3 linked regions of the Cricetulus griseus genome follow. The protein of the gene in region 1 binds, or shares a complex with, the protein of each later gene. Links are inferred from orthologs where the notes say so. Each region holds a gene or a part of one and is shown in the gene's direction. Other genes may lie near its edges.

Region 1 (4,944 bases):
TTAGGGTCCTGACAGATCAGCCAACAGTGCCTGTAGCACAGTGGGTGAAATAGCTCTCACTGTAGGCTTTGAAGAAGACCCAGGTGGCCAGGAGGTATGTGCGGTCAGTTTTGTTTCTGACCAGAGTGAATCATAACCTGAGATGTAAGGGTGGGCTGGAGAGATAGCGCAGTTGAGATCACTGTTCTTCTGGAAGTCTCTTGTTCTCTTCCTAGCACCCACACAACAGCTCCCATCCATCTATAACTCCAGTTCCTGGGGCTCAGATGCCCTCTTCTGGCCTTGTCAGGCACAGCATGCATGAGGTGCACAGATATAAAAGGAACTGTAGAGGTCTTGCTAGAGGGGAGGGATCCCTGAGACCCCTGCACACCACTAATGAGCATGCACACCAATTTCTAACCCACTCATGTGGGTTAGAAAGACCAGTTTGCCCCCTGAGGAACCCAGCCACTCCTCCTGTGGGCTCTTCTCAAGGGAGGTAAGGTCACTATGGTGAAGGCACCACCCATTGTAGTATTGCTCACAAGGCACAGAAACAACTGTGCCTGTCAGTGGCTGAATGGATAAAGAAACTGGGGGAATTGTATGTTCTGAGAAAGTTAAAGTTTTCCATTTGCCACAGTGGGGGTGAACAGGAAGGACATTACACTAAGACAGTAAACCAGACACAGAAAATTACTGTGTGTCTCAATCACACAGAATTAAAAACCAGAAATGAAACGTGCAGAGAGAGCATAGCTGTTTACCTGTGTTGGATTAGAGGAGAGAAAGTGAGGATGTGGGTGAAGTAGGGCAGGGGTCCCCTCTGGCAGGCAGTATGAGGCCTCATTTCTACTGAGATGGATTAGTTGCTTTTTTTTTTTTTTTCCTTCCAATTAATTTCTATTATGTATACGGGTGTTTTGCCTGCGTATATGTCTGTGCACCATGTGCATGCCAGATGCCCAGGGATGCCCAGAAAAGGACATCAGACCTACAATTGTGGATGCTTGTGAGCCACCATTTGGGTGATGGGAACTGAACCCAGGTACTTTGGAAGAGCAGCCTCTTAACCTCTGAGCTATCTCTGCTACCCCTTTGTTAGCTGCTCTTGCTCCTAAAGCAATAGGCAACTGCTCTCTGAGAGGTGATGATATGTTGACCCATGTTACTCTGGTAACTTTCTACCATTTGAGTGTGTCTCATGATATCACGTATATTTCTTAATGTGACTGAATATACAAAATGAGCTGAGTGGTAGAACACTTACCCTGGCGTGTCCAGGGCCCTGGCATACATTCCCAGCATTAACTTTTTTTTTTTTTTCCGAGACAGGGTTTCTCTGTGTAGCTGTGGAGCCTATCCTGGCACTCGTTCTGGAGACCAGGCTGGCCTTGAACTCACAGAGATCCACCTGCCTCTGCCTACTGAGTGCTGGGATTAAAGGCATGCGTCACCAACGCCCGGCCAGCATTAACTTTTTAAATTTCATGTGTGTGGGTGTTCACTTGCATGTATGTATGTGTACTACCTGTGTGCCTGGTGCCCCTAGAGGCCAGAAGAAACCTTAGATACCCTGGAGTTGTAGACAGTTGTGAGCCACTTTGTGGGTGCTGGCAACCAAGTCCAGTCCTATTCAAGAGCAGCATGTGCTCTCTCTTGACCACTGAGCCACCTCTCTAGCCCCCAGTTTTGTTTTTTCCAGACATTTTTTATGTTCAGTCATATATATGTGTATGCGTATGTGTGTGGCTATATGCACTCAGATGCATATAGCCACACACATACGCATACACATATATATGAGTGCATATAGCCACACACTATATGCATATGAGTACCCAAAGAACTTCTGCACTGATTTCCCTTGTGACTGTGTCAGCTTGTATTATCTTCACCAGCGGTGCCTAAGAGTTCCCCTCCCCTATATCCTCCAGCATTTGTTACTTGTTTTCTGTCAGGTCAGATGGAGTCTCGGTGTCATTTTGATTATCACTTTCCTTGGCTAAAGTGGCTGAACATCTTATCATTATTTTGGTATTAACTGGCTATTTGCACTTTTGAAAATTATGTAGATCATTTGCTTAGTTATTGATTGGCTTATTTGTTCCTCTGTTGTTGAATTTTTCCATTTCTTTCAATTGTGATGTTAATCCCGTTAGATGAGTAGCTGGCAAAGATTTTTCTCCTTTTTTGTAAGCTCTGTCTTCACTGGCGACTGCTTGCTCTGAAGAGGCTGTTCCTTTTCATCCTTTTGTCAGTTCTTGGAATGATTTCCTGTGCGAACGAACAGTTGGAGTCCTTTGAGGGAATCCTTGCCTATTCCTATAGCTTCAAGTGTTTGTCCTCTCTTCCTCTGGCAGTTTCAGAGTGTGAGGTCTTGCATTAAGATCTTTGATTCGTTGGAACACATTTTTGCACAAGATTATTTAGCTCTTTTTTGTTTTGTTTTATTTTATTTATTTATTTATTTATTTTTGCACATAGAAATCTAGTTTTCATAGCACCACTCAGAAGAGGCTGCTGTTTCTCCAGTGTATGCCTTTGGCATTTTTGTTGAAAATCAGGTGTCTGTAGCCCCTTGGATTTCTGGATCTTCCATTCTAACACATTGATCTGTGGGTCTGTTTTGTTGCTGTGGCTCTAATTTGAGATCAGGTATTGGTAACCCTCCAGCACTGCTCTTTCTGCTTGCAGTTACTTTGGCTGTTTGGGTTTCTTATGCCTCCTAATTTTAGACTGCTTCTATCTCTGTAAAGAACATTGTTAGTATTTTGGACTATTTACTTACAACCATTTTTATACTGGACTTTAGATGGTGTGCTGGTGTGGCATGTGTGAGGCTCTGGGTTCAATCCCTAGACATACTCTAAAATGAAAAATCAAACAAAAAACTTGGGAAAACTCATTTGTTGACCTTTTGGCTAAGGTCAGGTGGGGGAACTCTCGACTTGTCAATCCTTTGTTTGGTCAGGTCAGAGAACACCAGGTCTTACACTTTCATAATTTGCTGCCTTAAATCTGAAGATAGGAAGGGTGTACTTAACAGTTACAAAAATGTGAATGTAATGTTTTAGGATCTTTTCCTGAATTGTGGCAGTTGATACCATCTATACAGCTATACTTAACATTTGGTTCCTTTGAAAGTCTTCATAGTTGACATTTAGACATTTTCTTTAGTGAGAGTTAGCTCTAGTTCATGTTCTGATTGCTCTCTGAAGCTGAAAAGCCAGCCTTCCTTGGGGATTCTGTGTGTCAGTCTTCGTGTTTGGGAAACACCTAAGGTGTTCTACATTATTTTGCCGCATCAAAGCAAAGAAATGGCCATTTTATTCCCAAGACTCGAGGGTCGGGACAGAGCATGGGCTGTTAGTAGTGATGGAACAGCATGTTGAGGTGCTGTGGTAAGTCTGATGCCTGCTGTAAAATGAACCCTGCTAGTCCCTGGGCCCAGTATCTTCCTTAGCCAGTGCCCAGGAGAGGGAACTGGAGGGCTCACGGACAAGTTTGGGACATTTGTGACTGAGCCATTGGTCTGCAATGTCAAGACTAGGGTTCTTGATAGAAACACCATCTTCCTGGAACTGCCCCTTTTAACCTCAGCTCAGAGAACAGCTTGACTCTTAACCTGTGCCCTTGTATTCCAGGTGTGGTGTCTCTTGTAGCTGTCCACCCATCCACAGTGAACACACTTGGAAAGCAGCTTTTGCCAAAAACCTTTGGACAGTCCAATGTCAATATCACACAGCAAGTGGTAAGTGGTAAGACACATGAATCCCAGGTGTATGGAATGGGCTAGATGTGGGCGGTGTTGCTGTGGCCACAGTGTTCCTAAGTGGTGGAGGTTGCTTGCAGGAGTGACTCTCCTCTCTTGGGTGCATTCTGACTCCTGAAAGTGTGCACTGCTTTCTGTTGTACAGACATAGTGCTCAGTCTTCCGTTTCTTCAGTGTGCCCTATGTCTAGGAGTATTTGGAGGCCCTATACACATGGCAGTAACCTAATGGATATAGAAGGACTAAGGCCTGAACAAGCTTCCTGCTCCATGGCTTCCGTAGCTAGAGCTCTTGAGTTAGAGTTGCCTCTGTGTTACAACAAGTTCTGTGGCCTTTTTCTATAGCCACTGTGTCTCCTAGTTGCGAAGAGATGAAGGAAGGGTGTGGCTGTGTGGCTATGGCCACAGGAAGGGACCAGCACCATCCCCTTCCTTCATTGAGTAACACATCAAAGATGAAGAGCCCCTCAGTGTGATTCGGTCTCAGGCCAGTGGAGCGAGCTCACCTGTAGCTGGAGGTTCCTTCGGGGGTATTTTAGCACAGACCCATAGTGGACAGATTCCTGTCTTTCATCCAGGGACCTACCTTCTTCATGGCTCTAGGTTTTTCCCCTAGCCTCTAGTTGTTTGGCTTCTCCTGGAAACCGGGTCCTTGTGACACGTGCACCTCTGTCCTGCTCCATTGCCCACATGCTGCTTTCTCTCACAGTGTCTTACCCCACCAGCTTCATGTCTTCTGAGGAGGACCTAGTACCCTCCCTCAATTAATCACGGGGCCTTAGGAGTCTTTAGCTGAACATTTTTTTATATGTATTTATTTTTTGTTCTCTTTTTCTGTGTATTAGATGTATGTGGAGGTCAGAGGACAGCTTGCAGTTGTTTTCTTCTGCTCTACCATGTGGGTTCTGGGGATTGGACTCAGGTCATCAGGTTTGGTGTCCGGTGCCTTTATCAACTGAGCTGTTTCACCAAACCCCTCCACAGCTTTCACAGGTGTCCCTAGCTGTCCCGCCACTCTGGGTTTCTACAGGCATCCCCTGGTGTTTCCAGATGTCCCTCATCCCTCAAGCCTGGATTTTTTGCAGCTGTTGTTGGGGCAACCCTACAGCGTAGTCAGTCTTCTACAGAGAAAGCAATCACCTCATGGGTGTTCTGTCATGCTGTGCTTCAACTTTACTTGGAATGTGC
Region 2 (5,552 bases), about 95 Mb from region 1:
CATAATGGGGATGCCGCTGCCATTTTGTTGCAATACATGATGTTGCTGCTTTTAACTGTAGTTTTACTACACTGCAGGAAAAATTGTGTGTCAGTGTGTCTGTGTGTATGCGTGTGTGTGTAAGAGAGAGGGGGGTCCTCACTAATTAATACAGGCTGAGTTCTGGGTTCAAACTCTCAATGTTCTTGCCTCCAAGTAGCTAGGATATGGGTATTTGCCACCCTTCCCAGCTAAAAGCTTTATTTAGTTCTTGGTCTTATATGAATTTCATTTATTTATTCTTTTTTTTTTTTTTTTTTTTTTGAGACAGGGTTTCTCTGTGTAGCTTTGGAGCCTATCCTGGCACTCGCTCTGGAGACCAGGCTGGCCTCGAACTCACAGAGATCTGCCTGCCTCTGCCTCCCGAGTGCTGGGATTAAAGGCGTGCGCCACCAACGCCCGGCTTTCATTTATTTATTTTTAACATTTTATTTTTTAAATTATGTGTATATCTGTGTGTGTTTGTGGTTGTGCACATGAGAATGGGTGCCCTTGGAGGTTAGAAGAGGATGTTGGATTCCCTGGAGCTGGAGTTACAGGCAGATGTAAGCCACCTGACATGGATGGTGGGAGCTGAACTTGGGTCCTGTGCAAGAAAGGTACCTGGGCCTAACCATGGAGAGATTTCTCCAGTGCCTTCTAAGAATTGTAATATTCAGCATAGTTGTTGAGTATTATATGATGCATCCCTAGATACCATGCTTTTTTCCTGTACACCAGGATACTGACTAATGGAAGACTATCATTCTCCACATAGACTAAATCCTTTGGTATGGTGTGAGCTCTTTTGACTACCAGATTGCTAACATTGATAAAATTGTAATAGTCACAGTAAAATCAGAAATGTTTCCCTTAATCTTTAGGTGCTGCTTTATAGTAGTGGTATCAGAATTGTGCTAGCCTGGTGGAAGGAACTCAGAACTTTTCTATTAAGGTGTGTGTGTGTGTGTGTGTGTGTGTGTGTGTGTGTGTGTGTGTGTGTGACAGGTGAGGATTATCTCTTTATACCCCACCAAATCTGGGAACTCCATCTCTGCCCTCTTCTTCCAGAGATGTCCCACAGTACCACTAGTCATGTGACCAAGATTTCTGGCTAGTTCTCAAAGTTTCTCATAAACTAAGTTCACCATACTGATCCCTAATAAAACCCATGTGTATTCTCCAACATTCTCCCTATGCTAATTCCACACCACTGAGCTTGCTAAAGTGTTGTTATAGCCCTACATTTCAGGCCAATATCTTGTAGGTGCTTGACACCTCTTGCTTTTAGTTAGCTGTTTGAATCTTGGGAATTTATTTTTGTTTTGCAGATGGAAAAATAAACTTGTTATATAGGAACTAGTGGAGGTACCAGAATTTAAACCAGAATTTAAACTCTCACCTCCTCTGTGCTGTTCCCAGGTACTCTCACATTACCTGTGTGGTTTCCACAGTCCTTTAGCAATGCACCTCCTGCCTAACTATTGGCCATTCAGCTTTTTATTAGACCAATCGGGTGTTTTAGACAGGCAAAGTAACACAGTTCTACAGAGCTAAACAAATGCAACACAAAAGACTGCAACGCATCTTTGCACCGTCAAACATCCCACAACGTAAATGAATGTAATACATCTTGAACTATATTCCACGACTGAATACAAAGAATCCACACCGTATTAGTACAAGGTGTGTACTGTACTGCAAAGCAAAATAACAAAAAACTCTCTTTCAAAATAAGTTTAACTTTGGGTGCTCCTCCTAGGAGCTTTTTTGGCGCCCCTTGCAAAATTCAGGTCTGTCTAAACTCCGAAGAGTTTGCACTGGGGAAAGGATGTCGACTCCCGCCTCACTCAAGCGAATCACCAAGCGTGGGCGAGCTGGAAACCGCACCTACAGTGGTCTTGCCGGGTGTTCCTCGCCTTCACTTTGACAGAGGTCCCAGGGGAAGTCACGTGAGAGCCTGAGAGCGCTTCCCCCCACCTTGCGCAGTGACGCGCGTCGGGTTGCCAGGGGGCGGTGCGGTGCGCGGAAGGGGCGGGGCTAAGGCCGCCGGCGGAGGCGGGGCGACGCAGGGGCGGGAGGGGCGGAGCGGCGCAGGGGCGGGGCGCCCGGCGTATTATGGGATGCGGCGGTGGAATGGCGCTGGGCGCGTGATTTTGAACAAACCCGGGTCTGTGTTTCGGAGGCGCCGCCGCCGCCGCGGCTGCTGGGAGCCCCGGGAGCGCGGCGCGAGAAGGAGGCGGCGGCGCCGCCGGCTCGGGTAAGTGTCAGCCCCGGAGACCCGGGCTGAGCTGCGGGAGCGGCGCCGGGCCCGTGGGGCGGTCGCGCGGTCGGAGAGCGCCGGCCGGCTCCCGGGCAGCTGGGCCGGTGGGCCGCGGCGGGCGGAGGGTCGTCGGGGCGCGGCCACGAGCCGCTGGCGCCTGAGAGCGCGGCTGTCACTCGGCGGGGTCGGCGCCGCCCGCTCGGCGCTCGGGAGGAAGGGCCCGGCGGCTGTTGACAGGCTCTCGGCGCGGCCCGGGAAGCTGCCGGCGGCCCCGTGCTTCTGGGAACCGGTTTTGCTGCTGTGTCATTTCGTACCAGCGCCTCCTTTCGCCGCTGCCCGCCGCCGCGTTCTTCCTGCGCCCCTTTGTATGGACTCCTCTGGGTGTGTGTCCGTTTCCCTCGCGAAGCCCACCAGCCAAATGTCATAATGTCCCCGCGGTGCACGGGGGAAGGGAGCGGGCTGGGACTCAGCCTGGCCAAGCAACGGTAAACAACCATCCGAGTGCCGGTGGACCCGGCTGTTGGTGGGGGAATAAAGTTGAAAGATGAAGGAGCTGGCAACCCCTTACTTACACGCTCAGCCTCTAGCGGGCTGTATATAAAAACGCGCCGGGAGTGGGTGGGACAGCACTTGATTAAGCCCGAGCCTGCTGACTTTTAGATGGAGTTGTCATTCACACAAGGTATGGAAATGAAATGGCTTCTGCTTCTACCGTATTCTTAGGTAAACTTAAGACAGTTGAATAGTCCTGTTCGCAACCCCGAGACTCAGTTTGCTGGTTTCAAATAGGTCTTTTAGAGCGTATATTATATTGAAGCTGAATGATAAAGAATACAGCTTTTTTAACTGGCAATTATTAAGGCTTTCTGAAATTAAAACGCTGATTTTGGGGGAATGCTGGTCCCATTAAGAAGCCTTGCAGCTTATGTGTTCTTGTTCCTTAGATGATTAAGCATTACTTGTATTCTCTTTTGGCTACTTATTAAACTAAACGATGAGAGGAACTGGAAGGGGTGGATAGGTAATTCCGGAATCTTGTTCTCAAGCAAGCTGTTTATTTTCACTGCATCAAACAAGTGTATCGGCAGCAGATGGTTTTTAATTTGGAAACTTAGATCCAAAAACCGTTTGGCAAGGGATTCTAGCGAAGAGCTGTGTGCCTTCTATATGTTAAAAGTTCGTGTTTTGTTCATGCCTCCACAGTTGGAATCAATCACTTTAAATCAATACACTTTAAATTTAGTGGAACTTGTACAAGTTAAACCAACGACAAGTTGACGCAATGGTGTTCATGAACAGAAATGATCAAAGTTAAGTGGAGAGGAAAATAGTTTAGAACTTTATTCTTAAAAATTAAAAAAAAAAACCCAACAATTCAAACCACTGTAGAATCAGCGCCTGTCATTAAGGGGTGCCCGAGAATCAGGCATGTATACGGAAATAGCTATACTGTCAAAGTAGTTCTGTGGGTGGAGTAGAATGCCAAAGTTGGTGAGTGACGTTGAAGGTGTCCAATGTCTCTGAAATGTACACGAAACACTGAAACTGTCTACCATCTCAAGTGTTTTTCTGGAAATGAAAGAGTTCGGGGTCTTTACTGTTCTTGTGTCAGATTCCGTATGGCTTGCCCTCCTAACAAATGCCTAGGGCTTGGAATCCCGCAGGTATCACGACTCCACTTGGCGTTCCCGCGGGGCCGCGGATGTCTGGTCCTGTGGTGGTAGGGCTGGCACGGCTCGCCGGTGAGCGCCAGAACCTCCGGTGTGCGTTTGAAGGTTGGCGCGGCGGGCGGGAGGTTTCCCCGGATATGTGGGTGTGTGCTGCTCGTGAGGGCGGGCCGGGGCGGGAGCAGGAGGAAGGGGGAGGTGACTGGTGGCGGCGGCTGCGGCGGCGGCCGGGGCTCGGCTGTCGGGGGAAGCTGCTGAGCTGTGATGGTGATGACGAGGTGAAAATGGCGGATCTTTCGAAATACAATCCCGGCCCCTGACATACCAGAGGCGGCGGCCGCGGCGACATCGCTTCCCCGGCTCCCTCCTGACTCCCCGGGTACCCTGTAGTGCTCCATTTCGGGCAAACTGGGAAAGGAAGCAGCTGGACAGAGCTACCGTGTACAGGCAAAACAAGCACTGCCCAGGCTGGGAATTGCCCGGGACCTTCTGGAGCCCGCTCCTCGGAGCCGGAGGGTGGAGAAAGCGGCAGCCTCTGGAGGTAGAGGAGAAGGGGGGTACCCGGGGGCTCTCCGTCTACAGAGCTCTTTATTTGGGAGCTGGGGGAGGAAATGCGTTTCGGACCAAGAATGACTTGTCCGGAGTGCAAAGAATCAGTAGCCTCATAATGACATCAACATTATTTTTTTTTTTTTCAGTATCAAGGGTTGAGTTCGCTTACACCTAAGGCTGCTGCTGAGGCCTAGAGGAACCGCTAGTACTTACCATGATTTCCTGATAGAATACTTAAAATACCCACTCAGTGGGGGTTGGCTGGTGGTGGTCAGCAGTTTAGGGAGTTGTGTTTCTTTGGGGAGGCAGGGCATTGGCATTTTCTTCCACATTTAATGTTGGTGACAGAACATAGTCTAACTTGTTGGGGTGTGGATCCTCATCTATTTTTGAACATAAGGACCAGTGTTGTAGCAATCAAAAAAAATTATATGGCGCCTGTCATCCTTGGGGTGGTACCTTTGAACATGCCACTTGGCAAATAACAATTGATACTGTAAATCATATTTTCTGCCCAGTTTTAAAGGGATTTTCTTCTCTGTTCCCATCTGATTTGATAAATTCAGAGATCGAAGTTATGGAAAATTTTATAATAGGCTATATACTAAGTGAAATTCTGTTGGGAGCCCTATTCTGCTTGTGAGTTTACCTTCACTGTCAGAGGAATGCTTTGAGCACATTGAACTGATACAGATATTGAAGCTTGTTACGGAGCAAATGCAGTGTCTTTGTTCAGGTAGGCAGAGCACTGTTACCTTGGTTATAAGGCTTGATTGACCTTATCATGGCCCCCTGCTTACTTTTGTCACCTGATGGTCCTTGCTGAGTTAGGCTGTGCTGCACAGTTCTTAGGCAGTATCTTTGCACAAAGCAGGAACGATACCTAAAGGTTACATGTTATACAAAATTTTAATCAATGGTTTGGGGTCCTCCTTTTTTCTTCAACTTAAGTGGTAGAAGGTTGGGTCAGTGACCTTGAATTATGAGAGTAAACAGGTTAATATTTAAGAAATGCCTATTAGTAATATTTATGAGTAGCAACAGATTTTTCT
Region 3 (5,451 bases), on another chromosome or scaffold:
TTTCTTCAAACTGGTATATATATCTGTTTCAAAAATAACAGGCATGGGAAGAGAGTTTTTGCTCCTTTGTGCAAAGGACAAAATATCTTAAGGTTCTCAGTGATTCATGCTGATAGGAGTAACATGATTGGGGGTTGGGGGCAATTTCCAGAAAGGATTTTAAGGGGTTGGTAATGGAACTATGTAGACTGGAAACATTGTCCCTGTTACTAGAAAAAGATACCAGAATAGAACTAGGGGAGTAAAGTCATGCCAACCCTCTAAGGCCAACTCATTCCTCACACTGTCCCATTAAACAGCATATCCAAACCTGAACCTTTGTCGACTCCACCAATAATCTAACAAATGCACATTTTGCTGCAGAACTCATAGAAACCTGATGAACAGAAATAAAATTTTATGTATGTGCAACAGTATAGAGGGCATCCCCAGGCTGGATGAGTAAGAAGGAGACAATGTTGCTTAATGCAGGATTATGAATCTTTTTTTTTTTTTTTTGGTTTTTCGAGACAGGGTTTCCCTGTGGCTTTGGAGGCTGTCCTGGAACTAGCTCTTGTAGACCAGGCTGGTCTCGAACTCACAGAGATCCACCTGCCTCTGCCTCCCAAGTGCTGGGATTAAAGGCGTGTGCCACCACTGCCCGGCGGATTATGAATCTTGACAGTAACAGTATCTTGCCTCATGCTCTAGATCCTTGCTAAGGTGAAAGCTCACAAAAGGGTATCAACAAAGCTGGGGATCATAGGCTTGAAGCTTCCATAGCTCTACAACTGCCCTTAGGCAGTCTTCTTTGGGGTTCCAGTCCCAGTCTGGCAGAGTGGGAGTGTGTTTGCATTTGAGGAGCTGACTTTGGGAACATGTCTTCCTAGGCTCTCATTTTCTACCACCTGTTTGGGAAATATTTAGTCCTTTGAATGAATCAGTATTAGCATAACGTGCCCTTATTTACCTCCAAACGTTAACTTTGTTGAGAAAGTTTAACTTGGCCCAGAGCTTGTGAAAAACACTAGGAGCCATCATAGTTTGGGAAAACAGCTAGCAAATGGCTGCCTTTGATGTGGAAACCTAGGGTACATTTCTAGGCGATTCAGAGTTCCTTCGCACGACCCTAGTTGCACGACCCTAGTAGCACGACCCTAGTGAGCTCCCCTCCCTCCTCCCCTTACCTCAGATTATGTACAGAGGTTGGGTGGGGGAAGGGACACCCCTAAAATAAATTACTCTGAGAAAGGTGACCAAAAGGGGGGAGTTTCTGGGGAACAGAGGTGGCTGGTGCAGAGGTGAGAGACCGTGGGAGGAACCAGAGAGAGAAAGCAAGCCAAAGAGTGACAGTGGGCACTGAGCCGAACTGGAGGTGGGTGGGTCAGAGCCAGAAAAGGAAAGGCTCAGGAGCAAAAGGAGGGAGAGCCAGGCGTGACAGTCTGGGGCTGGATGCAGGGCCAGAGACAGTACAGAGTGACAGCCGGACACTCGGGGCTGGTGGAAGAGGGTCGGCAGAGGGGCTGGGACAGTAAGTCTGTCCGGCAGGAGCATGGTTTAGAGACGGGGCGGTAAGGACCCATTCCTAACATCATGGTCCCTCGTCGCCACCCTCACTCGCCTGCAGGATCCGGGTCCGCACTGCCGCCGCCGCCGCCGCCGCCGCCACCGCCGCCATAGCGCAGCACTTCTGCCTGGTTCACGAGCCAAGGCTGCCAGAGCCTCCCAAGAAGTCACACCGCTAGGCCACGCCTTCCACACGGCCGGGCCTTGCCATTGGAGGAGAGGGCCACGTCTCGTAACCAATCGCTTGTCAGAACTCTTGACTCCCACCCGTCCCTCCCAGTCTTGGGACTATGTGATTGGTCAGAAGAGGAAGCGTTCTCGCCCACTCTCACCCCAGCCGATTTTTGTTGGCGGAGAGCGGGAGACGCCCCCACCCCGACTCGGTCCTGCATATTAAGCACCAAGCGGAGCTGGGGAAGACGCCCCCTAACCGGGAGCTCCGATTGGCTACAGGTAGGCAGCCTCGAGGCCTCGCCCCCTCGCTAAGGAAAGTAAATAAGGCCCGTGGAGAATTTTGCCTGCGTTCCACCTTAACTACGGCGCCCCGGGCGGGGCTGCCTTCTGGGGTGGGACTAGGCAAATGTTACCCTATGGGCTAGGGCAGCAAGACCGGGTCGCGAGTTGAGGATAGGTTATTTCTCCAGGGGCGTGGCTTGTGGGTCCTCGCTTTCCCGCCGACGGTTGGCCACGTCACGTGACATGGGCTGGAAGATGGCGTCTCCCACGGACGGTAAGAGCCGGCTTGGAGATTGTTGCCCTGTAGTCTCTTTATTTGCTTCTCTGGGAGCTTCCTATGCCTTCACGCTTACCCTTCTTTCTTGGGCTCCTCTCCTTGCTCTCCCACTTCTTTCCTTCCGGGTATGTCGGGTTTTCAGCCCGCAGGGTTTTCACAGCGTCCCCGGAGGTGCCAAGTACCAGGTCTCCCCACTTGCTGGGTGAAGGAGGCCACCAAACAGACCCTTTCCCGGAAACAGGACAGAGTTCGGCCTGGCCCATCGGTGATGCCGAGGGCTCAGAAGGGGCTTCAGGGGAAAGGCAGCTTTCTTTTCGGATCCGCTCCTTGGAGTGTCGGTTCTGATCTCATCTCAGTAGAGCTAGAAGGAGTCTTTGAAGTCCTAGCTGTGGCTGGTGACTGACGTGAGGTTTCGAGTTCATCCCTAGGTCGAGAAACACGCTGTCTCCTTCTCAGTTTAGGTCCGTTGCCCTGGCAGCAGGAGAATCAAGGACCTGGTTTCCTGGCTCTGAGTCCCGAGGGAAATGAAAAGTAGTCTTGTTAATATAGTTTGTAGCGTCTCACACTCTTATTTTTTTTATGTGTTGTTTCCGTAGCCTGAGAGCAGGAGCAATTCTGCTTACATGACATCTAAGATGCAATTCATCTTAGGTGGCAATTAAGTATTTTCGTTATACCTGTATGCTTTTGCTCGAGGTTCTGTTTCAGGATTTGGAATTGCCCTTCAGTCATTATTCAGTATCTCAGTATATTCATTCTCAGCATAGTTATTTTGTTTTGGCCACAACCTAATTATAAGTTTCAAGTCTGTCTTATTTCAGAGTTTAATCCTAGGTTTTATCCTAATGCCTGCAAAGCATTTGGCCTTAAGTTAATGTTTCTCAAAAAATGAAACTGGCCTTGGTGTGTGACCTCTAATCCTAGCTACTTGGGAGATCAAGGCAGGAAGATTGTTGCTTCAGGCTTGCCTAGGTTACAGAAGGAATTGTGGGCAAAGTATGTCTCAAAAAGGTGGGGTTTTTTGTTTGCTTGTTTTTCTAGACAGGGTTTCTCTCTGTAACCCTGGCTACCCTGAAACTCATTCTGTAGACCGTGCTGGCCTAGAACTCAGCCCCTCCTGCCTCTGCCTCTTGAGTGCTGTGATTAAAGGCATGCATGACCATCCAGTGGATCTGACTGACCTCCATGGGCATCAGGCAGGCATATTGTGCCCATAACATTCAGACAACAGCAATACAGATAAATAAATCTGAAAATAAAAAGTGAGTATATAGGTTAGTGGGAGAGAGCTTTGCCTCTGATGAACAAAGCCCTACGTTCAGTCTCTAGCACACATCTAAACTAGTGAAAAGTAGGTGTTGGTGGCGCTCGCCTTTAATCCCAGCACTCGGGAGGCAGAGGCAGGCGGATCTCTGTGAGTTCAAGGACAGCCTTGTCTTCAGAGGGAGTGCCAGGATAGGCTCCAAAGCTACACAGAGAAACCCTGTCTCAGAAAAACAAAAAACAAAACAAAATAAACTAGTGAAAAGTAAATAATTCAAAGGGTTTTTGCTTTTAAAGAATCGGGGTTCATGGTGTTGTAATGTCTCAACATGGAGAGGATTGGGAAAGAACATAGTGGGTTTAAGGGGTTTTCCCTACATGTAATACAGAAAGACATCAAGTAGCTTCTTGGACATGTTATTCTGAAGTTCAGGAGAAAGGTTGGGACTGGAAATATGAATAGTTGTTGTTATGTAATAGTGAGAGTTGTAGCGAGTAAAGCTAGCATAGGGTGAGGTTTGAGTGGAGACTGAAGAAGGAATAACTAAGAGAAGAACCAATATGGTGGTTTCATAGGAGCATAGAAGCATCACATGCTATTGAGAGGTCACAGAAGAAATGATTTCACATAGAGAACTTTGATAACTGTAGTCTAATGCATGCACAGACAGATCATGATTTTGTTTTATAGGTTAAGGAGGCAGAGTAGGGTCTGGGAAGGTGGCACAGTATGTAAGCATGCTTGCTCTTCAAAGATGAGGACCTGAGTTCAAATCTCAGGCACTCACTTAAAAGCTAGGTATGGGTGCATGTGCCTATAATACCAGCATCTTGGACAACAGAAACAGGTGGATCCTGAGAGCTTGCTGGCTAGCCAGTCTAGCTAGCTTCTGGTTTAGTGGGAGACATTGTGTCAAGACAATAAATCTGAGAGCAAAAGGAATACATTCAGCATCCTTCCTGATCTTCACAGTCACAGACACCTACATCTGCACTCATTACACCCATACAGTGAGTGCCCTCTCGAGCACATGCATGCTCACACACAGAGGAATGTGAGGTGTGGAAATAAGAACAGGATACCCTGGAGGGAGGTTGTGAGTTTAAGGGGAGAGACTGCATGTTTATAATGTTTATGTGTGTGTCTGCACTCAGACATGCATGTTGGTACCAGTATATGTGGAGTCTAGTTAACCTTAGGTGTAGTCCCTCAAAAGCCACCCACCTTGTTGAAGTAAGACCTTTCATTGGCCTGAAAGTAGTAGGCTAATGGCTAGCCAGCAAGGTCCAAGAACCCCTCAGTGCTGGGATCACTAACACTGCTACCTCATTTTTTTTTTTTTTTTTTTTTTTTTTTTTGGTTTTTTGAGACAGGGTTTCTCTGTGTAGCTTTGGAGCCTATCCTGGCACTCACCCTGGAGATCATGCTGGCCTCAAACTCACAGAGATCTACCTGCCTTTGCCTGCTGGAGTGCTGGGATTAATTGTGTGCGCCACCAACGCCTGGCAACCTCATATTTTTTTCATGTAAGTTCTGGAGAGCAAACTCAGGTCCTCAGGTTTGCTCAATAAGCAGTTTACTGACAGATCTTTCACAAACTGCCCCCCACCCCCACCCTCCTTGTCTTTTTTTTTTTCAAAGGAGGGAAATTCTGAGCTAATGAGATGGCTTATCAGGTAAAAGAACTTGTCACCAAGACTGCTAACCTTGGTTTGAGCCCAGAATCCACATGTTGAAGAAGAGAATCAACTTCAATTTTTAGGGCACAAATATGAACCCAATAAATATTATTTTACAGCCGGGCGTTGGTGGTGCATGTCTTTAATCCCAGCACTTGGGAGGCAGAGGCAGGCGGATCTCTATGAGTTCGAGGCCAGCCTGGTCTCCAGAGCGACTGCCAGGATAGGCT

What was found.
Region 2: Tfdp1 (region 1) and Lin54 share a complex: the UniProt entries of both Homo sapiens proteins name them as parts of the DREAM complex. The link is inferred for Cricetulus griseus from reciprocal best matches to the Homo sapiens genes TFDP1 and LIN54.
Region 3: Tfdp1 (region 1) and Lin52 share a complex: the UniProt entries of both Homo sapiens proteins name them as parts of the DREAM complex. The link is inferred for Cricetulus griseus from reciprocal best matches to the Homo sapiens genes TFDP1 and LIN52.

What each region holds. Positions count from the first base shown.
Region 1 is NW_023276807.1:67,424,586-67,429,529, reverse strand, and holds part of Tfdp1 (transcription factor Dp-1), read left to right. Parts: intron 1-3,629; coding exon 3,630-3,736; intron 3,737-4,944. UniProt on the Homo sapiens protein: Can stimulate E2F-dependent transcription.
Region 2 is NW_023276807.1:162,538,185-162,543,736, reverse strand, and holds the start of Lin54 (protein lin-54 homolog), read left to right. Parts: upstream 1-2,139; 5' UTR 2,140-2,278; intron 2,279-4,245; exon of another isoform or gene 4,246-4,489; intron 4,490-5,552. UniProt on the Homo sapiens protein: Component of the DREAM complex, a multiprotein complex that can both act as a transcription activator or repressor depending on the context. In G0 phase, the complex binds to more than 800 promoters and is required for repression of E2F target genes.
Region 3 is NC_048598.1:119,314,106-119,319,556, reverse strand, and holds the start of Lin52 (protein lin-52 homolog), read left to right. Parts: upstream 1-2,038; 5' UTR 2,039-2,244; coding exon 2,245-2,275; intron 2,276-5,451. Other genes in the region: Aldh6a1 (methylmalonate-semialdehyde dehydrogenase [acylating], mitochondrial), read right to left, coding at 1,601-1,657.